Rattus norvegicus: one gene and its partners. The protein of the gene in region 1 purifies or fractionates together with the protein of each later gene. This does not show direct contact. Links are inferred from orthologs where the notes say so. Each region holds a gene or a part of one and is shown in the gene's direction. Other genes may lie near its edges. The genes, in order: Lgals3bp, Cul7 and Mycbp2.

Region 1 (10,868 bases):
GGTCCCCCACTCCATTCTCTGCTCTTCTGAGGCTTCCAGCCCAAGAGCCTGAGAACTTGATGGCCCTGGACTCCTTGCAGGCCAGGGGATCCCCGAGCCAGCTCCAGCTGGGTCCCATGCCTCAGACTGTGGTTCCCCACCCCCGGAGCGGTGTCCTGAGGCTTCCCACAGCCAGACACCCACCGGTCGACAGCTTGGTGTAAGCACAGTCAACTTCCCAAGTCCTGCCTCCCTGAGTGGATGAGCCCTGTGCCTGTCCACCGGAGCGGATGGACTAGGGACCAATAACCCTACAGGGGCCTCCAAGGCAACTTCAGGTTACAGCTTCTTGATCCAATGTCTGAGATCCACACATGATCTTCTGGGCTCTCCAAAGGGCTGGTGTCACTTCTCCAGCTCTGCCCTCTGTAGCACTCTAAGCTCAGGTTGATCCACTCCACCGCTGCTGCTGTTCTTGGTGATCATCCCATGGTACCGGCATCTCCAATACCCTGGGGTCTTCCTCTCATGGGTTCTCTTCTTGGTGCCAAGACTCAGACCCTTTGCATGACCCCTTCAGTCCTGGGCCATCAACTGAACTGAGACTATATTTTCACCAATGACCTTCCATGGCCTCTCACAGTGTCAAGCCTCAGCTGCTCTTCATGACCCCTTCATGCCCTCAAAACCTAAGTGACGCTTACACATTACCAAGTACAGCTGCAGCAGGAGGTACAACCTTGTCTATCTCTGGAGCACAGCTTCTTTGTGCTCTCAGAAAACACTTCCTCAGTGCTGCTGGTCTCTTCGTAGTCACCACTAATTTCTTAGATCCAGCTGACCAGCATCAATCGTCCCAGTAGTGCCTTCTATGCTGGCCTCTAAAGTCAGAGCGACATGGCTGAAGCTGCTGAATTCTGTTTACAGGACCTGGAACATGGTTCCCTTGTTCTATTGTATTATCGCCAGCTGTCTGTTCTCCAACTCCTTCACTGCCTAAGCTTGGCTGACCTGAAACTTGCTCCTTTGACTTGCAACTCAGGGATCCGCATGCCTGTCTCTTAAGCACTGGGATTAAAGGTGTGGTCCACCAAGCCTGGATGGAAGTTTTTCTTTACCTAGAACTTGCTCTGTCACAGGCTGGCCTTGAACTCAAAGATCTGCTTGGCTTTATCTTTTGGCATTAAAGGCTTGTACTACCTCACCTGGACCTAGCCACACCTGAATGAACCTAAATTTAGTTGGGTAGGACCTTGCCCCAAGGTCACTACTCCCTTAATTCAATTTAATGTCCTTGAACACAGGATTCAGCTACATTTCACTTCCTGGTGCCCCTTCAATACCATATATCTTATACTTCTCCTTTCTAAGCTTGCTATGCCTGTTCAAAATTCTCTTTATGAGACTGAACCAGGGGTTGGGGATTTAGCTCAGTGGTAGAGCGCTTGCCTAGGAAGCGCAAGGCCCTGGGTTCAGTCCCCAGCTCCGGAAAAAAAAAAAAAGAACCCCCCCAAAAAAAGTATGAGACTGAACCAGAGAACAAAGTCTCTGCTGGGCTTTTTTCCTTCATCGATGTAATTAATATAAATCTCTTCACCTTAGCCTCAGATAGACTCTTCTTATGAGGGCAAAAAGCACCCAGATTCTTCACCCAGATATCACAAGAACAGTTTCTAGGCCACATATTAAAATTCTTCTCTTCTGAAACCTCTTTTTTTTAATATTTTATTTATATAATGTATATGAGTACACTGTAGTTGTCTTCAGATACACCAGAATCCATTACAGATGGTTGTGAGCCACCTTGTGGTTGCTGGGAATTGAACTCAGGTCCTCTGGAAGAGCAGTCAGTGCTCTTAACCACTGAGCCATCACTCCAGCCCCCTTCTGAAACCTCTTGAGCCAGGTCTGCACGGTTCAAATTACTCCCAGCAACAAAGTCTTCCATATTCTTACTAGGTTAGCCCATTAAGCTCCACTTAAAGCATTCCACTGCTTTCCAAATCCAAAGCCCCCAAATACACATTCTTTTTTTTTTTTTTTTCTATTTTTCGGAGCTGGGGACCGAACCCAGGGCCTTGCATTTGCTAGGCAAGCGCTTTACCACTGAGCTAAATCCCCAACCCTTCCAAATACACATTCTTAAAAACAAACAAACAAACAAACAAACAAAAACCCAGCATGGTCAGGCCAATCACAGCAATGCTTCAGTCCCTGGTACCAACTTCTTTCTTAATTTTGGTTTTACTGCTGTGAACAGACACCATGACTAAGGAGGCTCTGGTAAGGACAACATTTAATTGGGGCTGACTTACAGGTTCAGAGGTTCAGTCCATTATCATCAAGGTGGGAGCATGGCAGCATCCAGGCAGGCATGGTGCAGGAGGAGCTGAGAGTTCTACATCTCCATCCGAAGGCTGCCAGGAGAAGACTGACCTACAGGCAGCTAGGATGAGGGTCTTAAATCTCATGCCCACAGTGACACACCCACTCCAACAGGGCCACACCTTCTAATAGTGCCACTCTCTGGGCCGAGCTTATACAAACAAACCATCACAGATCCCAACCTGTGGGTCATGACCCCTTTGAGGTTGCACATCAGATCCTTGCACTGCCATTCCCAACAGTAGCAGAATTACAGTGAAGAAGTAGCCATGAGATTATTTATGGTGGGGGTCACCACCACATGAAGAACTGTATTAAAGGGTCACAGCATTAGGAAGGCCGAGAACCATAGAGCAACTGGGCCTGCCACAGACTACACACCCTGTGACAGCCTCTGTAACTTGGCATCCTTTCCCCCAGGAGAAGCCTAGGTCCCGGGCTCCAGGTGATTAATGGGCCTGCCCCAGGATGGAGGCACCAAAGAGACTTGTTGATTCCTGGAGCCACCAGGCAGGCAGTCCAGGTAGGCTGACTGTCCCCCCCACTTCTCTTCTCCAGGGTACACCTCCACTCTCCCTCTCACACTCTCAGCCAAAGGTGACAGAAGCCACAAGTTAGCCCCCGGTTCAACAAGCTTGGACATCTGCAGAGTCAGGCTGATCCCTGCCTGTAGCTCTCTGCGTGGTTTTCCCAGGACTGAATGACCCCATAGCCAATGGAAACTTCACATCCAAGGGAGCCAGTCCTTGAGTGTCCAACCCCTGAACTCTGAGGCCAAAAGCCTTTTGCTGAACCCAAAAGGGCTTTACCCCAGAACTCCCTGGGCCTTTTGAACACCAGATGGCCAGCCCAGGTTGAGCTGCACTGACTGAGGACTCCCCGAGTAGAAACCAAGACCCGGTCTTTTGCTTTTTTGTTTGTTTGTTTGTTTGTTTGTTTGTTTGTTTGTCTGTCTGTCTTTGTGGAGGAAGGGGAATGGGTGTAAGCCAGGCAGAGCCTGTGGTGGTCTGAACCCTAAAGGGTCCCTGGGGCCATTGGGAGGGAGATCGCATTATCGAGTCAGGTGTGTATGGAACCCCAGTGTATCCACTCACAAGTTACTATCTGGGTTTAGAGGACCTCGGGGCCTCCCTCCCTGGTGTCATACCTGGGACAAAGAGCTCAAAGCACAGGATAAAAGGATTTGCCAGACCAGAATTGATGTAGAAGTTTTAATAAAGGACACTTGGGAGGTGGTGCTGGAGAGATGGCTCAACTGATAAGGAATACTCCTTGCACAGAAGCCAGGTATAATTCCCAGCACCCACATGGCGGCTCACAACCGTCTGTAACTCCAACTCCAGGAAACCTGATACCCTGGCCACCATACGCACAGGTGTATGGCACACATGTACATGGTGTGTTTGCCTGCAGGCAAAATGCTCACACACATAAAATAAATGAATCCTTAAAAAAAAAAAAAGTAGACACCAAGGACAGAAACACAGCAGGTAAATTCCTGAACCATACATCAGAAAGGAACAGGGTGATTTTATACCAATTTGAAGTCACCTGACTTTGCCTCCTGGGTCATTTGTGTCGGACGTTTTGAATAGCATTCAAGAGTTGAGTGTCTTGAGGTAGTAAACCTTATGGGGCTGGCAGCTGGGGGAGCCACAGGGAGCTGTTGGGATTTAGGTCACTGTATAAACCTATCATAAGGTTAATTTTAATGTATTTTATATATTTGGAAGTTTTGTCTGCATGGATGTGTGTGCACCACATATGTGCCTGGTGACCATGGAGATCAGGAGAGGGCGTTGTATCCCTTAGAACTGGAGTTATGGTGATTGTGTGCAACCATGTGGGAGTTCCTAAGGGAACCTGGGTTCTTTGCAAGAAGAACAAGTGTTCCTAACCACTGAGCAACCTCCCAGTCCTCTTTGAATTTTATATAATTTTTCACATTTATTTACTGTGTGTGTCCACGTGCATGCACATACAGGCTATGGTAGACATACAGAGATCAGAAGACAGCTTACAGGAGTCAGTTTTCTCCTGCAGTGAGTTCCAGGGATCAAACTCACAGTGTCAAGATTGGCTGGCTGCAGGTTACCATCTCTGTTGTTGTTAGTTTTGTTGTTGTTGTTGTTGTTTTGGGTTTTTTGTTTGTTTGTTTTTCTCCTTTTCTTCCTTCGAGGCAGGCTTTCTTTGCGTAGCTCTGACTAACCTAGAACTTACAACGCAAACCAGACTAGTTTCTAACTATCAAAGATCCACCTACCTCTGCCTCCCAGTTGAAGGTGTTTGCCACCACAGGTATTAAAGAAACCTCTTAAGATTTAAATTTTAAACGTATGTGCACTGCGTGTGTGCATGCATGAGCACACTTGGGTGTATGTGTGTGCCTACAAAGTCTGATCCCATGGAGTTCACTTAAAGCCTGTTCCAAGCCAACCAACATGGGTGCCAGGAATTGAACTCAGATCCCCCGAGAGAGTAGGCAATGCTCTTAACCAGCAAGCCACCCCTAGCTCCTAGCCCTGCTTCCTGTTTTCTATCTCGATTCCCATCCCTCAGGACCACTCTGTGGCCCACATACCTTCCCTCCGAGCATGCTCTGAGCACGGAAGGTTTGTGCAGTGAGCACAGCCAGCCTCCCCAGATCCAGGAAAGGATTGTGCAGCCCACATCCATGTTCACAGACACTGTGTGACCTGAGCCTCTGCTCCCCGGCCCATTTGCAGCATCTTCTCACCATCCACCGGGGTGCCTGCCTGGCCAGCCTGGACAAGTTGCCCCCCACTGTGCTTACCAGGCCAGCAAGGGGATATATCTGTTCCATCCCCTTCCAAGCTGCCCTCCCAGGGTGCCTGCCTGGCCAGCCTGGACATGTATCTGTTCAGCCGCAACATTGTTGTTTTATCAGCTCAGCACAGGGCACTTGGGTGCTTGCCATCCTCCCTGCAGAGCAGCAAGCAGAGGGCTATTAGCCTTGTCTGCAGCCAACCCCAGAGGCAGCCTCCGTCATGTGTTTTCTGGAAATCGAAACTAGACTAGGTTTATAAAGCATTTCCGGGGAAGAGGCTGAGGAAAACCACATGGTGGGGCCTTTCTCAGCTGAACAGTCTACAGAAAGCTTCGAGCTGCAGCCAGCAAGGAGGCTCCAGGACCATCTGCAGCAGCTGCCTGGACAGGTGACTGACTACCTGTCTCTTGCTCCCAGGTGAGTCCCCGCTCTACACAGCATAATTTCTGGGGGGGGGGGTCGCAGAACACAGGAACACCTAGACCTGCAGAGCCTCTAAACAGTTAGGCAGGATGTTCACTGAAAGAACAACTGAAGGGGTGAGTGGGGTACAGTTCATCCCTCGGCCTTCTCCTGGGTCTGTGGATTCTCACCCAGGACTAAACAGACCTACACAGTGGTACTGAATGAGCCAGCATAGGCAGGCACATCCCAAGTTCCCACACAAAGGAGTCAGGCAGAAACAGCCCCTGTCATCCAGTGGACAAAAATGTCCACATACCCTGCAATGTTCCCAAGGCCTAAAGTTCCTGACCCAGCATGGACAAACCCTATAACCACAGCTTATAGTAAATGGAGGGGGTGGGCACCCAGGGCACTTTGCCTGGGACTCAGGTTTCCCGGAACCCAGACCTCCTTGGGATAAGACTGGGTGCACAGCACTAAGGATCAAGCTTCCCACCCATCATCGAGTTATAGAGTTCAGCGGTCAGAGCCTATAGTGAGAATGCTCCCCTGGTAGCCAGACTCCGCCAGCCACACTGAGAAGAGTCCAGTGGCCTTCCCCCATTAACATCCCAGAGTCTATAGGGGATATTAACATGAGGTTTACATAGAGGAATGTATAGCTAACTGGTCTGCCCTATGCCTGGGCTGTAAATCCCAGACTGGGCTGATATTTCCTGGAGACAAGCTTCCCCTCCGGCTGTCACCAGGCAACAGCTTTCTCCTTTCAGCATGAGACTCCCAGGGGGAATTCCAGTTCTGTCCTTGCTTCAGTAGTACGATAACCGAAGGGAAGGGCACGAGTTTGTCTTAGACTATCTTCACCCTTGCCAAGATGGCTACAAGAGCCCTGGATCACTGAGGTCTTGCTCGTGCTGCTCTGGTACAGAATGTCTGGGGTGGAGGACAATCCTGGTGTTTCTACTGATCCTGGGATAACCTCTACTGCTGGTCTCTGGGCCCCTGGTCTGAGTAACAAAACAGTTTGAGATTCGTTGCTGAGTTCCTGCCCAGGAGACAGAGCTCTACAGCACCGTCCACTACCAGCCCCGACCTCACTGCCCTCGGGACTAGAATGAGTCTACCAGGGCTGCTGCACTTTGCTCTCTAGGTCAGCCCCCTTCATGCAGGGCCCGAGAGAAAGTGCCTGGGTGGGGCCCATTCTACAGACAGGCGAGAGAGTCTTAGTATTGAGTCCCTGTGTGTCAGCACCTTGGCAGTTGACCCTGACCCATCTCCCACTCATCCCCAGATCACGCCATGACCTCTGCAACTGTCTCTGTCACTTCCTCCTGAGAGTTCCCTGCTCCAACCTCATCCACAACACCCTCCCAGACTGGCATATCTTGTCCCTTTGGGGCACACCCCGAAGGGGGCTGCTGCCTGAAGATAAGACCAACCGTTGAGGGATAGCCTCTTGTCTATTTCCTGGGTTCTCGTTGCCAGGAGCCCTCAACCCACCTGCCTCATCTGGGGAGACTTACTGTCCTGAAGGTTGTCCCATAGAGCATGTGAGAGAGAGGCCTGCATAAGGGTCATCTCATGGCCATCTGGGCCTTACGGAAGAGGGACCACCCACAACACCATCCTGTCCTCCACAAACTTGACAGGGGACCATGGAACTACCAGTCTCCTCCGGAGAGCTGTGGCCAGTCTAACTTTGTTGTTCCTTCTGCTGCAGGTTGGGCTTCCAGGTCAGGCAATGGCTCTTCTGTGGCTCCTCTCTGTGTTCTTGCTGGTTCCAGGGACTCAAGGTGAGTCCTGCTCAGCGAAAGGTCCAAAACAGAAGTCAAGACCGTGCGCCTTGGTGCCTTGTTCTGTGTGGGTCACACACACACCCCCTCCCCATCTTTGCAGAAAAGCCAGGTGGCATCCTGTAAGACACCATGTCTTAGGATTCTCTGCCATGTGGATCCTCAGTCATTCTGAATGGTGGCCCTGTATGGGCCCTGCCCCCTCCCCGAAATGCAGGTGTTGGAGAAGAGACCAAGGAATCTTTTTTCACCTCATCAGTGGGCCAAGGAGGGAGAGTGCAGCCTGTGTTGTCCTGGAGTTTGAGCTCTCAGGTCACAGGCTAGAATGCCAGAGAGTCCCTGTGGAACAGTTTACAAACTGCACCATGGGTCTGAAAGCCTTGCCCATCCTGGACCCTCAGCTGAGTATCTCGCTCTAGCATGGGTGACCCCAATTCAAGCACCCAGCCGGCATGGACAGAGACGGGAGTCCCAGAGAGCAGGGAGCAGGACTCCCTTGGCTACCTGTGCCTGAGGGCAGACTGTCTCTAGTCCAGTGTTGTCCCCTCTAGGCAGACACTGTAGGGATGAGGTAGCAACTGTATGTGCGAGTTGGGATATCAGCGCTGTGCACCCCGCTCCTCTCTTACAATGGGACCCCACACCACAGCTCCCTCGTCCCCACACTTTGGAGGGAGCAGGCAGCATGGCAATGTCCTGTTGCTGAGTGGGGACAGTCCAGAGGCCATGAGACAGGTGGCACTGGGGTGTCAAGACATCACCCATCGTAAGCCGAGGTTAATCTGCTCTCTGCCTGTGTCTAGGAACCCAGGACCCACCTTCCCCTTCATACCAGCGTTTCAGAGAGCCAGGAAAGAGCCTCTCCCCCCCCCCCCAAGTTCACTCAGTAGGCTGAGAGCCAAGGTGTCCTCTTGGAGAAAAAGACCCAGAGATGAGAGCTAGATAGACCATGGCCTCTGTGGGCTCATCAGAGTTTTCACTCTTCTTCAGTGGGTAACTTTTTTTTTTTTTTTTTGGTTCTTTTTTTTCGGAGCTGGGGACCGAACCCAGGGCCTTATGCTTCCTAGGCAAGCGCTCTACCACTGAGCTAAATCCCCAACCCCCCCCCTTTTTTTTTTTAAAGATTTATTTCTTTATTTACTATATATAAGTACTCTGTAGCTGTCTTCAGACACACCAGCAGAGGGCATCAGATTCCATTACAGATGGTTGTGAGCCACCATGTGGTTGCTGGGGATTGAACTCAGGACCTCTGGAAGAGCAGTCAGTGCTCTTAACCTCTGAGCCATCTCTCCAGCCCCCCCCCTTTTTTTTTAAAGATTTTTTTTATTTGTTTTTATGTATGTGAGTACACTGTAGCTGTCTTCAGACACACCAGAAGAAGGTTTCTGATCCCATTACAAATGGTTGTGAGCCACCATGTGGTTGCTGGAAACTGAACTCAGGACCTCTGGAAGAGCAGTCGGAGCTCTTAACCACTGAGCCATCTCTCCAGCCCTTCAGTGGGTAACCTTACACACACACACACACACACACACACACACACACGAATGCACGTGCGGGGAGGGCCCCTTGAAGTGGTTCAAGGCATCTCCAGAAGGCCACTCCACCCTGTTTGGGGTGACCTTTGCTCAACGAGAGAGCACACAGAGCATTGAGTACACGGGGAGTGGGCATCAGACCAGGCTAGCCCTCCTCCCAGCTAATCTCCACTCTCCTGACAGGTGCAAAGGATGGAGACATGCGCCTGGTTAATGGGGCCTCAGCCAGTGAGGGCCGCGTGGAGATCTTCTACAGAGGCCGGTGGGGGACAGTGTGCGACAACCTCTGGAACCTTTTGGATGCCCACGTCGTCTGCCGGGCCCTGGGCTATGAGAATGCTACTCAAGCACTGAGCAGAGCCGCCTTCGGGCCAGGTGTGGCTGAGGTCCCTGAGTAGTGCTCCTCAGGCATCCCCTCCCGCGCCCCAGTGAGCAGCCCCAGTCCCCGCCAAAGGTCCGGTTCCTACTCCAAGCGGCTCCTGGCTTTCCTTTTGTGCCCACAGGAAAGGGACCAATCATGCTGGATGAGGTGGAATGCACAGGGAACGAGTCGTCACTGGCCAATTGCAGCTCCCTGGGCTGGATGGTGAGCCACTGCGGGCATGAGAAGGACGCGGGCGTGGTCTGCTCCAACGGTGAGCTGCCCTGCCCCCCACCCCCGTGTAAACAAAGTTGCAAGTGGCACTGTGGTTGTGGCTGGGAGCACGCGTCCTCCAAGAGAGCCCCCCGTGTTACTTTAACGCCAGAGAAGCTTCTCTAGCAGGGCTAGATTACGGGCAAGGGACTGTATTCCAAGTACAAATGGCACTGTGCTGGAGGGTTGGCTCTCTAAGGGCCGGTGTCTTACGGCTACTACTTGCTCTGACACATTGCACAGCACCCCTCCGCACAGGTTGTGTGTGATGGCGCTGAAGTGATTCTCGGTGGCTATGTTCAAGGACACTAACCGACTCCATCAAAAGTCTTCATCTCCAGTGCCTGAGGCCCAGTGGGAGTGTTGCTTCCTGGCTACCGTCTGTGGCTTCCTCCTGGGGGGTGGGGGTGGGGGGGCAGGGCAGTTTTGTTCCTGGGACATGCCTCTCTGTCCTGAGTTGGAGAACTGAGGCCTGGGGGTATTGAATCCCACAAGGTCAGACAGGCTTGGGTACAGGTTGATCTGAGGTGGAGGATCTCAGACTGGGGGAGCCTCATGAGTGTGAATAAGCTGTGTAGGCATGTGGAAGGCCCCACTGACTGGGGAACAGCATGAAACGGACACCAGAGGTAGAAGCTAGGGGGCACTGGGGCTGTGGTGTGAGGAGACACAAGGAGCCAGCCCACGCACTCCAAATGCCACGCCCGTATAGAGCAACACACGGTGTGGTATGCAGTTCTGGATTAGGGTCTGGGAGGCAGGGGAAGGTGGGGATGCCCTGAGATATGCCAGAGACCCTTCAGGACTTGTTCCCCTTGGGACTGGGAACCCTCAAGTTTTAATGTAGGATTGCAATGGGACCCTAACTTATCAGGTTTTTCACTGGGCATAGGGGGGTGGCCTCTGCAGTCACTGGGGGCTTGCGAAGGATGGGCACAGCCTCAGGGTGGGTGACTCCTCTAGAGGAAGTGCCTGAGTGTGTGGTACAAGGAGCCAGCCTCTGAGTACAGCAGGGCACAGCAGGGCCAGCTGCTGTTTTGTGCAGTTCAGAAAGCATCTGCAGCCTCCCTTCAGGCCTGTCCCATCCTGCATCTTCCCACAAGCCCTCTGAGCAGAGGCAGGTACCAGGATGTCTGGTTCAGATGAGGACCCTGACTCCTGGGGGTCTAATGGAACTTAAAGTCACAGAGAAAATGATCCACAAAGGCCATGTCCTTACACAGCCTCTGTCCATCCCAGATTCCAGGGGCATTCACATCCTAGACCTCTCTGGAGAGCTCCCAGATGCGCTGGGCCAGATCTTTGACAGCCAGCAGGACTGCGACCTGTTCATCCAGGTGACA
Region 2 (10,868 bases), on another chromosome or scaffold:
AACTCATTTCCGAAGTCTCCTTACCTGTGTACAGAGCAGAAGCCCTTGGTTTCAGGTGGCTCCCAGGCCAGAGCCCGGAAGAAACTCTGACCTGCAACTAAGGATTTAGAAGGATTTGTACTGCCCAAAGTCCAGAAGTCCGGCAGTCCCACCCCTTCTCTGTCACCACCTCACAGCCTCCCAGAGGACCTGGCACAGAGCCCCACCCAGGACAAACACCCTCCCTCCTTCAGCCTACAGGTTCTTCAGAGACTCGTACTAATGTCCCTTCTTCCTCAATCTCCTCGTTCTAGCTCTGAGGAGTTACTTTCTCCCAATAAGGGAAAGAAAGACCGATTTAATCTGAGACCTGAAGCAATGGGTGTGGTGTGCCTGTTAAAGGGAGACCTGGTTACAGATTCCCGACTGGATTACCGCAATAGCCGCCTTTCATGGCTTTGTCTGACATAATCACCTAACAGGCACCTTAAGTTGCCTCTCAAGTGCCGGATGGTCCAGGGAAGCGTAGCAGATCTGCCGTGCACAGTGGGGTCATAGAGAAAGGCGCTGAGCGCAGGCTATCCAAGCCTGGGGGCCTACAATCAGGAGTGTCTAAGGGTCCTAACTTGCCCTGAGAGCCGAGGGTAAGGACAGAAGTAAGATCTTCGAGGGCTGAGGGGAGAGGAAGGTGGAAGTGAGGGCAGAGTCGCTGACCAAGACCCGACAGCGGACAAGCTCGAGGTCACGGAGTCAGGGGTTCCCACAGGGGGCGGGGCAGGTTGTCCTACTGTCTGTCTGGACGCCGAGGGGCGGGGAAGAATCGCGGGGGGCGGAGTTTTTGAGTCAGTCTGAAGTTTTGTGTGGTTAGTAGGAAGTGACTTACTCATTTGTCCCAGAATGTGGGAATAAGAGTTAGTGTAATCTTAATTCTCAGCCCCAGGGGTACTCCCAAAGACTCACCTGCAGTCTGCTGGTCCCGCTGCCGCCTTCGTGGGTACTGCTCCTTTAAATATATCATGGCTGCCGCTCGAGGCAATTGTTTTGACGGCTCTGAGGGGCGGGGACTGTCTTCCATCATGTGACCTCAGTGCCTTCCAATGATTGGCTAAGAACTTGTTCTAGGGAGGAAAGAAAGCTTGTATCTTACGGCGCTGCACTTCTGTGCCCGCCTCTCTTACGTCATTGAAAAGCGACGGTACCCCGAATGAAACGTCATTTAAGAGCACCAGGCTCTGGGTAAAGGTAAAAGCGAGTTCTGTACGGAGGAATCTGACCATTCCATGGCCCTGTGCGCGCTGGCTAGTGCTCTGCGCTCCTTGAGCCTGGCATCCCCGGCCATTACCGCCCGGGTTCCGACTCTGCTTCCTGTTGGCCAGGTAATCCGCTTACCTGGGAAATAAAATCCGCCTGGGGTGTCAGTGATCCCTCAAGGCTAGTCGGGATCACGTGACCTTGGGTAAACTTGCCTTCATCCTTTGCTGTTTGTAAATGCTGCTCTCTCCGAAAGCTCCATTCGTCAGCGAGATACTGGCTTCCAAGTACTTTTGCAAATCTTTACTAAACAGGTTGCAATGGTAACATTAATGTGCCAACCGCAAACCAAGCAGAATAGAGGACTGAATTAAAGGAACTCCTGAAAGTTGTGCACATTTTGCAGATGAGAACACTGGTCAACAGTCTAAGTCTTACACCTTCTGGGACTTGACAGACTGACTTCAGAGCTTGCTTTTGTTTTTGCTCTCGTACTTCAAATTAAACCTAGAGCCTTGCTCATGCTGTGCACTTTTACCTCTGACCTACACACCTCACACCAGAACCAGTGCTCTTAACCATTTTAATGTGTGGATAGGTTGTGGCTGATATTAGGGAATGTCAACCAGTGGGTCTGAAGTGGGCAATGGTGAATCACAGAAAAAAAGAAATTATTGGGGTCTGGAGAGATGGCTCAGTGGTTAAGAGCATTGACTGTTCTTCCAGAGGTCCTGAGTTCAAATCCCAGCAACCACATGGTGGCTCACAACCATCTGTAATGGGATTCAATGCTCTCTTTTGGTGTGTCTGAGGACAACTACAGTATACTCATACAAATAAATAAATCTTTAAAAAATTATTTAAAAAAGAAATTATTGACCTTGCTTCTCAGCATTTCTCAGGCTAAGCTTGGCAAAATTTAGCAAATATATATTTGATATTCCAAACTAAACCTAACACTGGGTCTACAGCAAGTGGAAAAGCAAAGTAGTTATTTTTATTCATATTTGAAAATTCCTGAAAACGTGCAGAGGGCAAAGGTCACTGCTGCTAATGGTGGTATATGGGTGTGTGGAATTTACCAGCTCTGGAAAAATGAATTCTTCAGGCAAGGAAAGGTTTCTATTTCCGGGCAAGAACTTGAAACGAATTAGAAGTTGATGAAGGAAAAACATCTCCTCGGAGAAGTATTTCAGAGGTTTACCAAATGGTTACCAAGTAACTGGATAAACACATTACGCTGGTATTTGTGGAAGTTGAAGGGTAGAGATTTGAGGGCAGTGGTCTGAGATGCTTTGAGGAGGAAATAGCCTACAAGCCAGACTTGATCCGTGTGCTTTCTCCCTTGGTTCTCTGAAAGAGGATTTTCTTTTTAATCCCGAAATACAGAGCAATGTCCTCCTTCAGCTGCCCTCTGCCCTGGCATTGCCCGCTCACCGCCCAGTGCATATGTCTGCGGACCGCAGCGCTAAGTTTGTGTCCTGGAAGAGTCGTATCAAGTACACAGTTAAACCAGTGAAGATGAGGAAGTCTGGGGGTCGAGACCACACAGGTGGGAGAAAGGGCCGGGAGCATCCGGGGTGGGGGGGAGACTGCATTAGGGCCCTGGATGTCTAAGGCAGTGTACTGTGGCTTGTAAGATGTCAGTGAGGTGCGTTTTGCTGTGTGGCTCACTGTTGAAGCTGAAGAACAGACCACACAGAAATATAACCAGCTCAACCAAAGTGCCCAAAATTCATAACGGTTTAAAGTGTGTGTGAGTCCGATTTATATCCCTCCCAGTAAGTCTACTGAATTCAATAACCTGAAAACTTTTGTTTTATACAATCTTAGTAATCGTACTTGTATTGAGCCATGCAAGTGTTACCTCAGTGCTTCTTCAAGGATGCCCTGGCCTCCACACACCCACATGCTATGGCTCAAACTTGGGGCCTTATAAGGCAAGCTGTCTATGGCTGAGCCACACCACCAGCCCTTTGTCACTTTTCTGTGTGTGATATAATATCGAGGGAGTGCTACTGTCCAGTCTAGGCAAGGTCTGTTAATGTTGAGAGCTCTTCTAACCTTAATCACAGCCCTGAACTCTCCTGACTCTAGGCCGCATCCGAGTGCATGGTATTGGTGGAGGCCACAAGCAGAATTATCGAATGATTGACTTTCTCCGGTTCCGGCCAGAAAAGGGGACCGAGCCAGAACCCTTTGAGGAGAAGGTTGTGGTAGTCCGCTACGATCCTTGTAGGCAAGTTTGGGGTGGGAAGTGATGATGGTGTGGTCTGAACTGCTCTTTTGTAGCTTCTCAGAAAACGTGGGCTTTGTCCGTCATCCTGAACAGGTCTGCAGACATAGCTCTGGTTGCCGGGGGCAGCCGGAAACGCTGGATCATTGCCACAGAAAACATGAAGGCAGGAGATACAATCCTGAACTCTAACCACATCGGCAGAATGGCAGTGGCTGCTCAGGAAGGGGATGCACATCCGCTTGGGGCGCTGCCTGTGGGGACCCTCATCAACAATGTAGAGAGCGAGCCTGGCCGAGGAGCCCAGTATATCCGAGCTGCAGGTATGGACCCGAACGCTGCCCTCTTCCCACAGTTGGGAAGACCCAGGGGTACCTGCTATCACTCCTGTGAACCCTTTAGGCCCACATCTGTTCCAAGGACAGAAGAAAACAAACAGTAAGAGGACGAATATGTGCCTTGCTTTATCCTAAATCATAGTGTATGGTCTTCTGTGTTTCATGTGCCCCAAAGGACAAAGTAAGGGTAGCGTGTGACCCAAGATCCCCACGGCAACCTCCCTCTGATTTGTGGAGGGTGGCAAAGCTATGTCTCCCTTCCCCAGGGACATGCGGTGTGCTGCTCCGGAAGGTGAATGGAACAGCCATTATCCAGCTGCCCTCGAAGAGGCAAATGCAGGTGTGTGGCCACAAATGGGAGGAGTCAGCAGAGGGGGTTTGTGGAATGCACCTCACTATCTCCCAAGTGTATGGTGCCAGGTTCCATTTGTGTGTGCTCTGGTCTTCGCTTCCTGAGTAAGCAGGCCTCCTCAGGTCGGTGCCTTAATGGAATGCCTTTTCCCAGCCAAGCATGGCGGTACATGTCTGTAATCCCAGCATTCCAGATGAGGCAAAAGAAGCTACCTAGGCTTTTCCAGGAAAAGATAGGTGTGGGTTGAACCATCAGGTTGGAACTGGCTTTTAATCCCGTCTCTCAAGAGCCAGAGGCAGGGATGCAGAACAGTCAGGACCCTGACTCCAAAAGAAAACCACAAAAACAAAAACAGATTCAGGAGTGTTGTGTGTGTGTGTGTGTGTGTGTGTGTGTGTGTGTGTGTGTGTGTGTGTTTCTTCAACTTTTCATTCATTCTGTCAGACCCACATTTACATTCTAATGTTTTGTGTTTCTCCTTTTTCCATCCCTTATTGAGTGTAAAAAGCCACCTAGAGTAGTGTTCCCAACACTGCCCTGCCAGGCTCTTGCTCCCACCGGTGCATTCTTGTCTGCTTCTCTTGTCAGGTGCTGGAGTCGTGCACTGCAACTGTAGGCCGGGTTTCCAACGTTAATCATAACCAGCGGGTCATCGGCAAGGCAGGACGGAACCGCTGGCTAGGCAAGAGGCCTAACAGTGGGCTGTGGCAACGCAAGGGAGGCTGGGCCGGCCGGAAGATTCGGCCACTGCCACCCATGAAGAGTTACGTGAAGCTGCCCTCCGCTGCTGCCCAAAGCTGATTCCCCTGGACTCAAATAAAATGTTCCTTGTTTTTATCTGTTACTACCTTTTCAGTTTTGGAGGGCGCGGTACAGACTGTAGAGAAATAATCAAGGATAGAGGGAAGAGAATGGAAAAAAACGGATGGGGAGGGGGTTAGAAATGACCTCCAAGGTCTTTTCCAGTTCTGGCTTTGGGAAATGGGAAGGCACTTCCGGCACAGGAAGGAGGACTAAGAGGAAGAGGAAAGGGCGGTGCGGAACTGGAGGGCTGCGTCGTCCAGGTGGCACTCGCTACTCCTCCCGCTGATAGCCCCGGGCCTCCAGCTTTCCGCTAAATCTGGCGGAAACGAGCGGTGGCTGATGCAGGCGGCGGAGCTTGGGAGCGCCCGAAGCCCTAGCCAGGACTAGGCTCCACCCTGCAGCAGGCAGTGCGCAGGCGCGCGCCGTGAAATCTCCTGCTGGCCACGCCCTCTGCCCGCCTGTCTCCTGCACAGGCACGCCCCCTCCTCTGCGCCTAGACCCCTTCAGGGGGCCCAGGCGGGGCCCAAACACTCGTCAGCGCAGCAGCCGCCATCGTGTGCAGCGCGTCCCTATCTCTGCAAAGGACAGGCCTCGCGCCAGGATCCCGGTGGACTTCTGAGGTGGCCAGAGCCCCGCCGCGGCCCCTGCCCCTTTTCTGGGCTTCCGATCGCCCGCGGAGCCTCTCGTCCCCTTCCCCACCATGCTTTGGGACTCTCCTTTATCGGGCCTACCTCCCCATCCTATCCCACCACGCCCGTTCCCGACCTTCTCAGGTCTTGATTCCCATCCACCAAGCCTCGCGCCGCTTATCCATCGGACCCCTGATGCACCCTTTCCCCGGCCTCGCAGCTCTGGCATGGATGTCTCCATTCCTTCCCCTTCTCCCAGCCTGTCAGCTTTGCTGATGGCCATTTCTGTGCCCTTTCCTTTGGGCCTGACCACCCAGTGCTTCAATTTAGAGATTTCATCCCTCCTCTGACACAGTCCTGTGCCTCCACACACCCATTTTCCTAAGTTCCCTTTACTGGCCCAGGATCTTGGGCTTCATTTGTAAACCCAACACTGCTCTAGACCACTGCCCTTCCCATTGTCCAGAACCAAACCCACTCAAGGCTACAAGCCTTGGAGACCTTTTAGCTCCAATATTTTGCTCTCGAATAACAAACTCCACAGTGTTCTCTTCGGTCCAGGTCTCACTCGGCCTGAAGCAGGCCCAACTTTACCCCACCCAGCATAACAGCTGTTGCTGCATTTGCTCCTCCAACTCCTGGATGCCCTTGTTTTCTGACCTCCCTCTCACTCTAGCTTGCCTCTTCTCTCTTCCTTGTGTGTCTCAGGTGCCAGGATGGTGGGGGAGCTCCGCTACAGGGAATTCAGGGTGCCCCTGGGGCCTGGCTTGCACGCATATCCGGATGAATTGATCCGCCAACGGGTTGGCCATAACGGGCACCCTGAGTATCAGATCCGCTGGCTCATCCTCAGGCGCGGAGATGATGGGGACTCTAGTCAAGTGGACTGCAAGGCTGAGCATATCCTGCTATGGATGACTGACGATGAGATCTATGCCAACTGCCACAAGATGCTGGGGGAGGATGGCCAAGTCATCAGACCTTCCCAGGAGTCTGCAGAGGCTGGGGCCCTCGATAAATCTGTGCTGGGGGAGATGGAAACGGATGTGAAGTCCTTGATTCAGAGGGCCCTTCGGCAGCTGGAGGAGTGTGTGGGCGCTGTTCCTCCTGCCCCACTCCTTCACACGGTCCATGTACTCAGTGCCTATGCCAGCATTGAACCCCTCACGGGCGTCTTCAAAGATCGCAGAGTTCTGGACTTGGTCATGCACATGTTGAGCAGTCCTGATTATCAGATCCGCTGGAGCGCAGGCCGGATGATACAAGCTCTGTCCTCCCATGATGCTGGTGAGGGGCAGGTTGGGGAGGAAGGGAGAACAGGAGAGGGTCTGGGTTGGCTCAGGGATTCAGAGGACACTGTGACAGGACCTTCTGACTGCATCAGTACGTAATGGTTCTGTTGTCATTCACTTTTAAGTTGGAAGAAAAAAGAGGGGGCGGGGGCGGGGGAGAATGTTTATTGGGGAGGTGGGGGAGATTGAATAAGCAAGAACATATTAATCCATTAGCTTTTATGCAAAAGAAGAGCTTAGACTGTTGCAGAATGTGTGTGTGTGTGTGTGTGTGTGTGTCTGGGTGTGTGTGTCTGGGTGTGTGTGTCTGGGTGTCTGGGTGTGTATGTGTGATAGTAAACTTTGGCTCTTGAAGCAAATCAACAAAATATGTCATTCCCAATGAGTTCTGGCAAAGGATTGGTAGTAAGTAGAAAGCTAGGAGAGATGCCTGAAAGATTGGGCTTAGGGAGTTGTTTCTGATTGGAGGTATGGGTTTCAGGAACCCGGACCCAGATCCTTCTGTCACTGAGCCAACAAGAGGCCATCGAAAAGCACCTGGATTTTGACAGCCGCTGCGCTCTGCTTGCACTGTTTGCCCAGGCTACTCTCACAGAACACCCGATGTCCTTCGAGGGCGTTCAGCTGCCACAGGTATTTTGGGAATATGGGGTAGTGGGAGCTGAGGATTTGCCACAGAGGATGCTCCGGAAAGAGGGCAGAAGATGAGATGGGTGAGGGTCAAAGGTATATTCTATAGGTCCCAGGACGGCTGCTCTTCTCCCTGGTGAAACGCTACCTATGTGTCACCTTCCTCCTGGATCGGCTGAACGGCAACGCAGAGGATCAAGATGCCCAGAACAACTTCATTCCAGAGGAGTTGAATGCTGGGAGGGGCCGGGTGGAACTGGAATTCAGTATGGCCATGGGCACTCTGATCTCCGAGCTGGTGCAAGCCATGCGCTGGGACTGGGCCTCAAGCAGATCAGAGAGCTCCTCTCCCATTTTCCAGCCTCCGCCAACAGAGTTCTTCCGCCCCCGTGCCCAGCGTTTCAGGAGGTCAAGGCGGTTTCGCCCGCGCACCGCATTTGCGAGTGTCAACACCTATGCCTTGTATGTGCGGGATACGCTACGGCCCGGGATGCGGGTACGGATGCTGGAGGATTTCGAGGAGATCAGTGCTGGGGACGAAGGCCAGTTCCGACAGAGCAACGACGGCATGCCTCCGGTCCAGGTAAAGGCTGTACAGTAGTGAGACCCTGAAATTCTATTCTGGGTAAGGCATGCATGCCTGGGTGTTCTGTACTAGAGGCTCAGTTAAGATCCAAAGGGCAAAGGCATTAACAGTTGAAAGGACATGGAACCCTTGGGATATGTGATTAAAGGAAGTTCGGACCCAAGAAGAAACTGGTAGATCCGAATTTGGCAATGGCTGTTTGAGGCCAGATGGAAGCATTGAATATCAAAGACAGAGACGATCCAGGCGTGGTAGCCATGTTTGTAGTCTCAGAACTCGGGAGGTAGAGAGAGACAGGAAGATGGGAGTTCAAGGCCAGCCGTGACCACATAGCAATGTTGAGGCCAGTCTGGGACCCCCGTCTGAAAGAGAGTAAAAACAGAACTAGAATAAAGGAAGTAGAGGCCATTGCTGAAGAGAGGGTGGGGCTGTCTGTATATACACTGTCGTCTATGCATTCTATATATTCTATAGCCAGTGTTGCTATTTGGTCACCTTATAGACCATGAGCCCCAGCGTTGGGCCTCAGCTGATTAATAGCAAATCCTCTTCTCCTTCCCTCTTCCCGCGCTCCAATCCTCCAGGTGTTGTGGGATTCGACAGGCCATACCTACTGGGTACACTGGCACATGCTTGAGATCTTGGGCTTTGAGGAAGACATTGAGGATGTGGTTGACATTGATGACCAGGGGGCAATGGTCCATGGAGGACTGGGTGTAGGTGAGCTCGGGGAGGGGTTGGCTCTGAGCCGAGAAGCAGAGGCCTACCTGGGCAGGCAGTGACTTGGCCGTTGGCACGCCCCGTTTTCACAGCCCCGCCATTCCAGCACTGGAAGCCCATAGCTCAGCTCTTTGCCGAGCCTTACGTGGTGCCCGAGGAGGAAGACAGGGAAGAGAGAGAGCACTTGACCCAGGCCGAGTGGTGGGAGCTCTTCTTCTTCATCAAGAAGTTAAACGCAGAGGAACGGCAGCACGTGGTGGAGCTCCTTCAGGAGTTCCTGGAGGGGGAGGTAGGCACTCCTCAGAGGCGCCCCCTACAGGTCTGGACTGGAACATTTGCAAAGCTCGGGAGGGGACGTGGAGGTCAGATAGCATCAGGGGCCCACAGTGGAGGAGTCTGGGAAGTTCAAAGATGCAAGTGTTGGTGGGCTGTCAGCTACCAGAGGTTCAGAATGGTGGATGTGTGTGGAGATTCCCCATTCCCCCAGAGGACCTCTCACCATCTGCTCGTTCAGCTGCTACGGGCTGACTTTCTTCCCACAGCATGTTCTGGACTTTGAGATCCTGCCCGAGCTGACTGTACCTGTTGAGTTGGCTCAGGACCTGATGCTGTCTCTGCCTCAACAACTTGATGACAGCGCTTTGAGGGACCTGTTCAACTGCTATGTGTACCGGAAGTACGGCCCCGAAGTCCTGGTAGGGAAGCGAAACCGCCCGTTTGTGCTAGATGACCAGCTTAACCTATTCCGGATCGAAACGGACTCTGAAGATGAGGCTGGCGCTGAAGGTGAGTGTCCCGCAGACAGCAGCAGAGACACCTGCCTTCGGGAGAGTGTCGTCACAGGGGGGTCTCCTCTAACAGTGTGCTGTCCTGTCTGAAAGAGATACCCTACCCACAGTCCCAGAAACTTTATATGTGCGTCCACGTGAGTGCGTGTGCGTGCGCGCGCGTGCGTACCTGTGTGTCTAGACCCGAAGACAATTACAGATGTCGTTCCTCAGCTGTCATTTATCTTTTATTTAAATTGATTTTATTTTAGCTGAGTGTGGTGGCCCACACAGATATCTGAGTTTGAAGCCAGCCTGCTCTATAGAGCAAATTCCAGGACAGCCAGGGCTACACAGAAACCCTGTCTCAAAAGTACCAAGCCGGGGTTGGGGATTTAGCTCAGTGGTAGAGCGCTTGCCTAGGAAGCGCAAGGCCCTGGGTTCGGTCCCCAGCTCCGAAAAAAAGAACCAAAAAAAAAAAAGTACCAAGCCAAAAAAAAATTTTTATTTTATTTTATTCGTATGGGTATTGTGTGTCTATTACGTCCATGCAGTGCCCACAGAGGCCAGAAGAGGGCGTCGGCTCTCCTGGAGTTGAGGTTCTAATTAGTTGTGAGCTGCCAAGTGGATGCTGGCGATTGAACCTGGAGCCTCTGGAAAAACAAGTGTTCTTAATCTTGACCCATCTCTGTAGACCCATCCGCCACACTTTTTCTTCCTCCTTTCTTTCCTCTATCTCTCTTTCTTTTCTTCTTTTTTTTTTGGGGGGGGGGGGGGGCAAGTTCTCCTGCTGCCCTGGTCCTTGCTGTCTCCACCATATGTATGAACCACAGGCATGAACCACTGTGTTCAGTTATTGTTTCTAGAAGATTTTATTTCTAATTATGTGTCTGTATGTGGGTTCGTGCGTGTGAATGCAGATACCCCAAGTAGGCCAGTGAGACTGTCAGATGGCTGGAGCTGGAGTTGCAGTGGGTCACGAGCTGCCTGACACAGGTACTGCCAATTCTTACCCCACTCTTGTTCCTCCAGCCCAAGATCCCCCATCTCAGAGTGCCAGCCCTGCCCTGCGGCAACTGGTGGAGGGCTTGGGCCCATCTGGGAAGCTCCTTGTGGACCTGGAGCGAGCCCTCAGCTCTGAGGCTCCCCAGGAAAATGAGGTCAAGCCATGCCTGCTGCAGCTGCAGGAGGAGCCCCAGCCCTTCCTCACACTCATGCGGAGTCTGGACACTCCAGCCAGCAACAAGGCCCTGCACCTGACTGCGCTGAGGTGGGAGAGCAGTG
Region 3 (10,768 bases), on another chromosome or scaffold:
TAGCCAACTGCCCGTGACTGGAGAGATCATAGATTCTGGAAGAGAACCCACTTTCCTAAACCAATGTATTTTCTAACTGAATTCTAAAAGATGTATTCACATACCCACAGATAAGTATAGCTCTCACCTTTTAATTGCACTCTTGTGACAGCCCTTCCTCTGGAGAATGTAAAACCTCATTTATCCATATTCAAGTATCTATAATGAACAAAGCATCATTTTCTTCATCAGTTTTCCTTATATAATGGTCATTTCTTTTTACTGTATGAGTTCTCAGCACCCACAATGTAGCTCACAGCCACCCATAGCTCCAGGTGTGGTGGATCTGTCTCCAGGTGTGATGGATCTGTCTCCAGGTGTAGTGGATCTGTCTCCAGGTGTGGATCTCTCGACAGTTGTGGATCTCTCTCACCCCTTCTGGCCTCCGTAGGCAAAGAGCACATATGTGATGTACATATATGTACATAAAATATTCATACACATGAAATAACCTTTAAAAAGAAAATGTCAGGACATTTGGAAGCTTTTCTTTTCATTTGAAATACAAACAATTTCAGAAAAGTATAAGTTTAAGATACAGTTTTGGAATCATTCAGAACATCACAGTTTTGGAAAAGATTACATTCTTCTTTTTTGAGATTTTATGTTCACTTTATGAGTATGAGTGTTTACCTGAATGTGTCTGTGCAGCACGTGTATTCGTGCCCATGGAGCCCACACGGAATCACACATCTGACTCACTGCCTCAGAAGAAGTGTCACTGCACCCCACGCCCCTGGTTCTCATAAGTGTTTACCTCTGTTCTTTCCGCATGCGCAGTTTGGAAACGAGCCCGATAACTGACACCGACCTGGCTAAGAGAACTGTCTTCCAGAGGTCATACTCAGTTGTCGCTTCGGAATATGATAAACAACACTCCATTTTACCTGCACGAGTTAAAGCCATCCCTAGAAGGAGAGTGAACAGTGGAGACACGGGTAGGCATAATGGCAGGTTGAATGATGAAACTGTCGGACAAACAAACAAAGAAAATTGTTTTCCTTGCAGAAGAATGGAGAAAATGGAGAAGGGTTTACTTGGCTCACGACTAATTAGGCTGGTCACATCACATCAGCAGACTGTTGATCAGTCCGTGCGTGCTAGTGCTCAGGGCTCTCTCTCCTTTACGTTCACTGCTAGGCTCAGCCAGTAATCAGGATAGGTCTTCCCAGTGAAATTAAGCCAATTAAGAAAATCTCTCCAGGAATACCCTTAATGCCAACCTAATCCAGACCAGTCCTCATTGACACTCCCTTCCCAGAGATTGCGTCTGTTGACAATTCTAACTAGCCATCTTTTTCCACACTTTACATATATTCATAACATACTTTTACTCAGCCTTGTAGGAATGTATGGACATAATACAAGCTACTTAGCTTTAACAATGCTGCAGGAAGTATGAACTGAGATTCAGTTTTTCCTTCAAAACCTACCTGTTCATCATACTCTGTGTAGTTCTAAGTAAGACAGTTGCTTCCTTAACACTAATTGAAATTGTTATGATTTATGTCACGTGCAAAAACAAAAAGTTTTAAAGTGAATACGCTAGATATTTTCAGTATTTAACACACTAATTGTATACTATCTATGAAGATTACTAATTTTTTTTTCTTTTCAGAAGTTGGGTCTTCTCTCTTGCGACATCCGTCACCGGAGCTTTCCCGGCTTATATCAGCCCACAGCTCTCTCTCCAAAGGAGAGCGAAACTTCCAGTGGCCAGTCTTAGCTTTCGTCATACAGCATCATGATTTAGAAGGGCTGGAAATCGCAATGAAGCAGGCCTTAAGGAAGTCGGCTTGCCGTGTGTTTGCTATGGAGGTATGGATACTTTGATAAAATTACTATCCATGTATTACACAAAGACACAGTAATTCTAATTAGCGACACTTTTTTTTTTTAAAATAAATTACATCAAATTAAAGCCATGTGCCTAATGGGAAAAAAGTGTTCACATCAAACTAATAAAGTTTACGAACAAATTAATTTGGAACTTTACATTTAAGTATGCTAAATCTCTATTTTTATACAAGCTTATTACTTGAATATGAGTTTGTCTCTTAAACCTTTTTGTGTTCAGGACATTTCACTAGAATAAAATGACATCATGCAAAGAAGGTGACTGGGCTTCTGAGTTAGATATTTACAGTAGTAGCTTATCCAGGCCTCTGTTTTCTGGAGTAGGGACGAAGCCTTTGCTAGACCTACAGATAGTAAATGTTTCTTCTTTTTTAACAAGAATGTGGTAAATAATTTGTTACATTTAATGTTGTAAATGATATAGTTAAGTAAATGGCTATTTGTATAATACTTGGAAAATTCTGTATTAGTTTTAAATGCTGGTTAGGAAAAATGCTGACTTAAAAAGGAATTTTCATTGTATTTTGTAAACAATATTTCCTTGTTGCTCTTTTTTTTTTATTAACACCAGAATTGACTATTTTAAATTGAGGGTTTTTCAGTGAAACAAAGGCCTCATTTTCTATTTAACATGTTTATCTTTAAATAATAATTTTAAATAATAACAGCAATAAACCCCTATGTATTGTGATTCGCATTTTCCCCTTATTTTATGCTTCGCTTTACTCAGGCATTCAACTGGCTTCTCTGTAATGTCATCCAAACAACGTCTCTGCATGACATTCTCTGGCACTTTGTGGCAGCACTGACTCCTTCTCCTGTAGAGGCAGAGGAAGACGAGGATGAAGATAATAAATCCAGTAAAGAAAATGCAGAGCAAGTGGGTTTTCTCCTCCTCTTCCGTGCTTTCCCTTTTTAATTACATATTTTATTCTTTGACAGTCTTACAAGTTTATACAATATATGCCAGTCACACCATCCACCACTCCTACCCCCAGCTGCCCCTCGGGCAGCCCCTCCACTTCTTCTGTTCCTTGTCATTGCTGATAGCAGCCAGGGTCCACATGGTGTTTCCTGTGTGTGCATGGCTATATGGCCATAGTTACATATTTTATAGGACCCGAGTAGAATGTTTTACATGAAATAATTGACAGATGATTTGGCTTGAAAAAAACCAACAATGATAGTATGGACAAATGTTAGCCTACTTAGTAAAAGTTTTTTATGTGGCAAAGATGCTAACACAACTGGTTTCTCATTGAGTGCCATTGTCACACAACAAGCGAGCAGATGTCCTGCAGTATTGCAGTCAGCATCACGTGTACATAGAGAGTCTAGAGCTGGAACGCTCTCCTTTCTAGCCTAGCAGTAAATGGGGTGAATGTGGTGGCCAAAGAAATAATGTGTAGCCCTTATCAGGGAATGTAGCTCTCAAATGTAAATCGAAGTCGGAAATAACCAGTCTACCACGTGGGCACCTTGACCTAATGAAATGTAATATGCTTTAGTGAACGATAATGTAAACTAGAACTCATCTGATGTTCTTACTCTGGTAGGCATACAAAGCAAGAAGCAGTAGCATGCTGTGTTTTACTTAGCTCATTGACATAATTCAGAATGTTGATAAGCGCCCATTAGCAACAGAATGGGAAAACAAAGAAGTTCATATATGCTGTGTAGTAAACACCTCTTAGAGAAAAATGTGGCAAAACCTATACACATTCACATGAAAAATTATTTCGTTACTACACTTCTGTGAGCTTTCCTATTATGTGAAGATGCGCTTCATAGCAGAGCTTGTTAAAACAGACAAAATGATTGTTTTGAGGTAGACTGATGAGGAAACTGCACTGTTTCCATTCAAAGAAATTCCATTGACCAGAATATTGAGTTTTGTGTACATAGGTAATAAGTCATGGTCATGTTGTAAATTGCCTACTGTACATAAAAAGTCCTATGAACTACGAGGACCCCAACTCCTAAACATGCATTGCTTTTAATATATAAACATCTACATAAAATATGTCTATTTGAATATGAATTTATGTGCATGCAGATACATGTATCTACATCTGTATGCAGTCTTCTAGTGACATGTAAGTGTAAAATTGATGTGTATAGGTGATATTCATTTGTTTGCTCTTTTTACCTGTAATTTACTTTATAGTTTTCTCTAGAAATGTTACAAATACATTAGAAATTTTACAAGTTATAGTTATATGACTATTTTTTAAACATTTCTTCCAACTGATAAACTCCTTTCCAATTTCCCGCAGGAGAAGGACACAAGGGTGTGTGAGCACCCGCTGTCAGACATCGTGATTGCAGGCGAGGCTGCTCACCCTTTGCCACACACCTTTCACCGCTTACTTCAGACCATCTCCGACCTCATGATGTCGCTCCCTAGTGGCAGTTCCTTGCAGCAAATGGCCCTAAGGTAATTTTTCACCAAAGTGTTCCAATAGAAATTTATGGACTATGCAAAGTGCTGAATACTTGAAAAAATGTTTAAATGGCAAGATGCAAAGAATCCCTAAATTGAGGAAATGGTGACTGCCCTCTTCTGTCCTAAATTAGAACCTTTTTCTGTCTGGCTGGTATCTGTTTGCCCTTCTTAGTTCCCAGACTGTTGGTGAAACCATCTTGTTCACCTTTCCTGCTCCTGTTTCACTGTGACCAGCAAAGAGAATGAAAATAAAATCTCAGAAACCAAAACAAAGTTGGGAGGGGCTTGAAAGTAAATTCCAGATTCTAGTTATGTGCTTCCAATTTTAAGAAATACAGTATCACGTCATCTTAATTTGGAATGTGTTGAGAATTTGGCATTACATTATGAACTGTATTTTTAATTGAGTCAGTGAACTATAGACAAATAAATCCTCCATGGTGTATATAACAAGCTTATGGGACAGATTAGGTTTCCTACATCCCTAATGATAAGGCCAATAGAAAACATAGTTTTTGTAATCTTCATAGGAGGGTAAAAAATGTTATACCCCCAAAAATCATTAAATCATTATCACACAGAAATTAGCAAAGCTATTGCAGTTGCTATAATGCTTATCCTTAGAACAGATTCATTTCTGCTTGTGTGGCCTTGACCTCCATAGCTCCTTTATATGTGTATGTGTGTGTGTGTGTGTGTGTATTTAAAATAGATTTTCTTTTGACCTTGTTAAATTACCTTTATTTCTCAAAATAAATATGTGTGTGTATGTGTGTGTGTATACATACATACATATATATATATATATATATATATATATATATATATATATAATTTCATCCTCCTCTAGAAATTTTCAATGTATTTTACAAAAGTAATCTTTTGTGTAGTAGCTTTTCTGAGAACTCATAGGCAATCCTAGAAAATAATTATTTTGTCTGTTGTTTATACTTTTAGATGCTGGAGCCTTAAGTTCAAGCAGTCTGACCACCAGTTCCTCCATCAGAGCAATGTCTTCCATCATATCAACAACATCTTGTCGAAGTCAGACGACGGAGACAGTGAGGAGAGCTTCAGCATCAGTATCCAGTCTGGCTTTGAAGCCATGAACCAGGTCAGTGGCCGACTTACATGTCTGTTGTAGCAGCTAGTGGTGGTAAGTGTGGTAAAAGACAAACTGTGAGTCATACACAGTTTGATTACAGTGTTTACTATTGAATGCTTACTCTTCCCACACAAAAGATTGCATTTTTAACACTATGACTGTTTACATTTCTCTTTGTAGGAGTTATGCATAGTTATGTGCTTAAAGGACTTGACCAGTATCGTTGACATAAAAACATCAAGTCGACCTGCCATGATTGGCAGTTTGACAGATGGCTCCACAGAAACCTTTTGGGAATCAGGAGATGAAGATAAAAATAAAACTAAAACCATCACTATCAACTGTGTGAAGGGAATTAATGCCCGTTATGTATCTGTTCATGTGGACAATTCCCGGGATCTTGGGGTAAGAAGAGAACTTAATTTCTGGCTCACTGTTTCTTTTAAACTAAGAGGTTTAAGTTTTGGGGACTTCTCCAACCAAACATTTTTATAATCTTCAAATAAATCCTAACTCTAAGAACAGATTTATATGACTAGAAACACTATGGACTATAAATTCTAAAAAATGGTCTGATCACAAATGTACCTTGGCTACAGCTGAACAAGATTAAAATCTATAAAATGTGATCCCACAATCCCCAAACTCAGCAGAGAAGCCCTCTTTGGATTGTAACTCCGGGGAGAGAACTTACTCTTCCCTCCACTGGGTTCTTGGCTACTCTGTTCTGTTTGTAGCACTCTAATTGTGCCTAATACACCTTGGCCCACAGTATAATCAGTTTCTGGCTTCTGCTTCATACCCTCAGTCCTTAGAGTTAGAGGTGGACAGTCCCTGAACTCATTTAAATATTCATGATTTACAGTTCCTCCAGCCTAATCTCTCTAATAAAGTGTTTCATCTGAATTAAAACATTCTTCCATAAAAGGCACCAAAGAAAAGAAAAGAATCCTATTACTTGAGCTGGAAAATAGCATCGGCCGCCAGACTGATTCTTCTGCCCTTAGTCTTGGGGAAGAATACTTCTTTGAATTTTGCTTCAGAGTAGACGAGGCTTTTCAGCAGATGGTTTTAGTGGACTCCCATGAGCCACTGCTGGGCTAAACCCATCCATTGCATATTGATTTTGCCTAGAAAGAAAGAAAGAAGAGAGGGAGGGAGGAAGGGAGGGAGGAAGGGAGGGAGGAAGGGAGGGAGGCAGGGAGGGAGGGAAGGAGGGAGGCAGGGAGGGAGGGAAGGAGGGGGATTTTGTCTCAAATAACCTGGAAGTAAAGCTAAGCACATGAGTCCCCTCTTCCATCCAGGTACAATCATCTGCCGTCCTCCCCAGACCCCAGCTTTTGTGCAGCAGTGCAGATTCAGTGCTTCCCTGGGGCCAGATAAGGACACGGGGCATAAGCTAGCACCTCATGAGCTTATTTCCTTTTATAAACAGAAAGTTCATCTTACAAGAAAAAGTTAGAACTTTGCTGGCTAGGTTTTACTGCTGACTACAAACTCATCTTTGACTCAATACATTTTTCACCAGGGCATCCTCCTCACAATGATTGTTATAATCAAATTTAATGTCTATATTTGTTAAGTTGATATACTTTGTGACAATATTTATTGTAGAATCCAAAAACTCTTCACATAACATCTGCTTTCCTTTTAAGAGATATCCTTGAGCAAATACATTGCTTCGCCTCCCAACTACCCACAGTGAGCCTTATCCATAGCATTTGTTATTTTGAGTTACTATTCATAATAAACAGCTCAAGATGCTAGTACATTTTTTTGATGTGCTTAGCATAAAACTACTGAACCCTAGTGCCGGGGTGACTGGCCTCCTGCACTGAGACGCCACACTGGTAGTGTTGGCTGATGTTCATTTCCCGTGAGCGTTGCCTTCCCAGGTTTGCTGAGCCCTTTGCAGGGATAGAAGGCACCTTACACGATGTTCTCTTCCGCAGCCACACAGTTCGATGACGCACACAGTAGCTGTTAGTTAAGGAACCTTCCTTTCATGTGCTTCAGAAACAGGGACTCGGCCGAGCAGAATTGTCAGTCACTACATGAAGATACAAAATTTGAAGGTTTGGAATTTGTTTAAAGCTGGGAAAGTAAACTGAGAAGTCACACAGAGGCTAAAATGTAAGAGATGACGGCACTGCAGGCCCTGTGGTTGGCTGGACAAGTGGTATGCGGTCTGTGAGGACGTTGACACTATAGCACGGCATCTGAGGCTGTAAAGCATAAGTGTATATGTACATGTTCCCTGAAGAAACACCGTGTAACTGTTTTGAATTTCTGTTATAGAATAAAGTTACCTCGATGACCTTCCTGACTGGTAAAGCAGTAGAAGATTTGTGCAGAATAAAGCAGGTAATTGAAATGCCAGTTTTTCTTCTCAGCTTTCACTGTTGATTTTCGGTTTTGCCATACTACCAAGATAGCATAAGAAATCATTTATTCACAGAACAGTAAATTGAAACTAATTTGTGGCCAAGAACTACATCCCAATGCTAGATAGCTCTTTATTATTTCTTTTTTATACACTTTGAATTTTTATTTTTTATTGGATATTGTATGTATTTATATTTCTTTAAATGCCCTCAGTCACAAGCCTACAGTCTGCAATCCCTCATTGTTCTACGAAGACTTGAGTGCCTTTAATGTCACTGATTCACAGCCAGAAACTTCATTTACCAACACCTACATTAGAATTGATTGTTAGCCTAAACAAAATCAAGTAAAATACAGCCATGGCTTTTACTTCAGCAGTTCTATCTGTTATAAATCAGTTTACAAAACAATTGTAGAAATGAAGCCTATCTGGGCACAGGCTTGAGATTATGCACAAACTCAGGAACTTACATAACTATAACCTTATCAGAGCTTTGCTTCTAGGTTTACTTTGTAATGCAAAAGTCAGTACATTTCTTTGAATTTTTTCTTTTCGCCATTTATACTGAAAGTTAAGATGAAAAATATTTAAATGCTAAAGAATCTAGGAAAATTATTCTAAAAGTTTTGTTTTGTTTTGATTTTCACACTTATATTCTCTTTGTGGAAGTATTGACATTATAGTTAAAGTAACAAATGTCTAAATCAGTCATCTAGAAGGCTGCAGGTTCCTTTTTGGTCATCAAATAGAATGAGAATAATTTTAATTTCATTGGCAAAGTAGTGTCAAAACCCATTTTTCTATGAATTGACATCCAGTCCTTGATATACAAACACACATCTGAAATATCAACACAATGAAAATGCCATTTTCTTTTGTGGTACTTAATGTAAGGATGCATAAAACAGCACCTTGTTACTTACGTTGTTTCTACTGAAAGCCAGTGTAGGGAATCGTGTAAACTCTGTAATAGTTTCCTCAGAATTTACCCAGGGAAACCATGTGGCAGTCAGGCCTGTATCACTTCTCAGCCCCACCACCTCCTGAAACTCTCTCAACCTGGGTTAACCTCGCTTTCTTCTTTGTTCTGGCTCCTGTAGATACTACTGCTTGCCCTTAACTTAAGTAAGATAACAGGAACACCCTGACGATCTTTACCGTCTGTGCACTTGTTTATTTGAGCCTTCGGTTACTGATGCTAGGACCAGAGCCGCGATAAAGTGATTCTGCTGGATCAAGGTCCTGTCTTTTCTCTGCTCCACCAGGTCGACTTGGATTCCAGGCACATTGGCTGGGTAACAAGTGAACTCCCTGGAGGGGATAATCACATCATCAAAATTGAGTTAAAGGGCCCAGAAAATACATTAAGAGTTCGACAAGTAAAAGTCCTGGGTTGGAAAGACGGTGAAAGCACAAAGATTGCTGGCCAGATCTCAGCCAGTGTGGCTCAGCAGAGGAGCTGCGAGGCCGAGACCCTGCGGGTGTTCAGACTCATCACCTCTCAGGTGAGCCACTGCAGCGCAACTGGCCGTGTTTTCAGAGGGTGGCAGGTATTTGATTATAAGTTTCTAGTTTCAAGTACAGCCCATGTTCACTTCGTTTAGTCCATTACCAATGTCTAATGTAGATTTGCAGTTTCAGAGCGGTAGTAATCGTGCGATGGACAGAGATGCTGTATTACAAGGAACCCTTCAGAATCTGGCTCAGTGTGGGGCATGAGGCCATTGGCCTGGCACTCTAGAGGCTAAGACAAGGATTGCCACAAACTTCAGGACAGCCTGGACTACATTTGAGTTCCAGGCCAGCCTAGGCTACTGAGTTAAACCCTGCTTCAAGATAAAAAGTTCATTAAAATAATGAATTAGATAGCCGTCCAGCTTTGCAGGGGTAGTGCCATCATCGAGGTTCTCACCTGCCTACCTTCCTTGTCAGGTGTTTGGGAAGCTCATCTCTGGGGATGCTGAACCTACACCAGAGCAAGAGGAAAAGGCGCTCCTGTCATCACCGGAAGGAGAGGAAAAAGTATACAATGTATTTATTTGTAGACTAAAATTCTGTTTCTCATTTTCATTTTCTTACTTTTGGTCAGACAACCACCTCTTGGGTTCCTTTACATGTTAGTGGGTTTGTGGCTGCATGTGGACTTTTCACTCTTGACTGGCATTAGGAAGAAGATAAGAGAGTTATCTGACAAGCAGCTTACCTCCGTACCTAAGCTGGCTGGAAGCTGCGTCTGTAGAAGCCCTCTGCGGGGCTTGCTGGGCTCTGCCGGCGTCCTTGCGATCGATCGCTGAGTTCTGCCTCCTCCGTGCCTTTTTCCTCCGTGGCCTAGCTGAAAACAGGAGGAAACTTGTTTACAACTTCCCCAAAGAGAAAACAGCTCTGCCTGTGCTAGAGGTCACACTGTCTCTCTGCTTCTGCCTCGTGGTTTCTTTTATCTTACCTTCATCCTCACATGCCTGCTCTCTTCCATGGCTTCTCAAAGAGCTCATACATACCAGATTTGCATTTGAACCCACCACGCCGTCCTTACACACATGTGCAGTACACTTTACTGATACAAGTGCTCTAGTGCTTTGTGACTGTTGTCTGAAAGAGTTGCTGACTGGACAGTACACCTCAGAGGACCGGATCCTGCTGGTGAGGCTCTGCGGGTCACGTGGGGCAGAGCTGCAGGCCTGACGCTTGCCTTGCTCTGGGTCCAGAAAGAAAGCATGATGTTATTGGAAGGCTTTTCATGCTTTGTTTGTTTTGTTTGTTTTTTAAAGATGCTATTAGTGAGATTGAGGGTGATTTTTCTTTTTCTCTAGTCTGCTAAGCATTTACTTCAGAATGGATATTCTTATATATTTCTCTTCTGTTAATTGCTTAACTGTCATTCAGTAGAATAATCACTGCTATGAACTTCAGTCAGTGTGTTATTGGTGTATAGGTA

What was found.
Region 2: the proteins of Lgals3bp (region 1) and Cul7 purify together in Homo sapiens (affinity purification with mass spectrometry; 3 studies listed by BioGRID and IntAct, with this or other methods). This does not show direct contact. The link is inferred for Rattus norvegicus from reciprocal best matches to the Homo sapiens genes LGALS3BP and CUL7.
Region 3: the proteins of Lgals3bp (region 1) and Mycbp2 purify together in Homo sapiens (co-immunoprecipitation; 3 studies listed by BioGRID and IntAct, counting the BioPlex papers as one, with this or other methods). This does not show direct contact. The link is inferred for Rattus norvegicus from reciprocal best matches to the Homo sapiens genes LGALS3BP and MYCBP2.

Annotation. Positions count from the first base shown.
Region 1 is NC_086028.1:104,122,415-104,133,282, reverse strand, and holds the start of Lgals3bp (galectin-3-binding protein precursor), read left to right. Parts: upstream 1-5,434; 5' UTR 5,435-5,569; intron 5,570-7,277; 5' UTR 7,278-7,298; coding exon 7,299-7,350; intron 7,351-9,074; coding exon 9,075-9,266; intron 9,267-9,394; coding exon 9,395-9,526; intron 9,527-10,764; coding exon 10,765-10,868.
Region 2 is NC_086027.1:21,824,966-21,835,833, reverse strand, and holds the start of Cul7 (cullin 7), read left to right. Parts: upstream 1-5,489; 5' UTR 5,490-5,580; intron 5,581-6,297; 5' UTR 6,298-6,305; coding exon 6,306-6,876; intron 6,877-7,362; coding exon 7,363-7,514; intron 7,515-7,620; coding exon 7,621-8,094; intron 8,095-8,681; coding exon 8,682-8,817; intron 8,818-8,909; coding exon 8,910-9,106; intron 9,107-9,359; coding exon 9,360-9,603; intron 9,604-10,616; coding exon 10,617-10,854; intron 10,855-10,868. Other genes in the region: Mrpl2 (large ribosomal subunit protein uL2m precursor), read left to right, coding at 1,260-1,355, 2,620-2,782, 3,328-3,469, 3,563-3,789, 4,071-4,144, 4,745-4,957. UniProt on the Homo sapiens protein: Core component of the 3M and Cul7-RING(FBXW8) complexes, which mediate the ubiquitination and subsequent proteasomal degradation of target proteins. Core component of the 3M complex, a complex required to regulate microtubule dynamics and genome integrity.
Region 3 is NC_086033.1:86,373,185-86,383,952, reverse strand, and holds part of Mycbp2 (E3 ubiquitin-protein ligase MYCBP2), read left to right. Parts: intron 1-819; coding exon 820-977; intron 978-1,657; coding exon of another isoform or gene 1,658-1,660; coding exon 1,661-1,857; intron 1,858-2,626; coding exon 2,627-2,776; intron 2,777-4,172; coding exon 4,173-4,333; intron 4,334-5,299; coding exon 5,300-5,456; intron 5,457-5,627; coding exon 5,628-5,852; intron 5,853-7,745; coding exon 7,746-7,811; intron 7,812-9,098; coding exon 9,099-9,338; intron 9,339-9,765; coding exon 9,766-9,855; coding exon of another isoform or gene 9,856-9,864; intron 9,865-10,768. UniProt on the Homo sapiens protein: Atypical E3 ubiquitin-protein ligase which specifically mediates ubiquitination of threonine and serine residues on target proteins, instead of ubiquitinating lysine residues.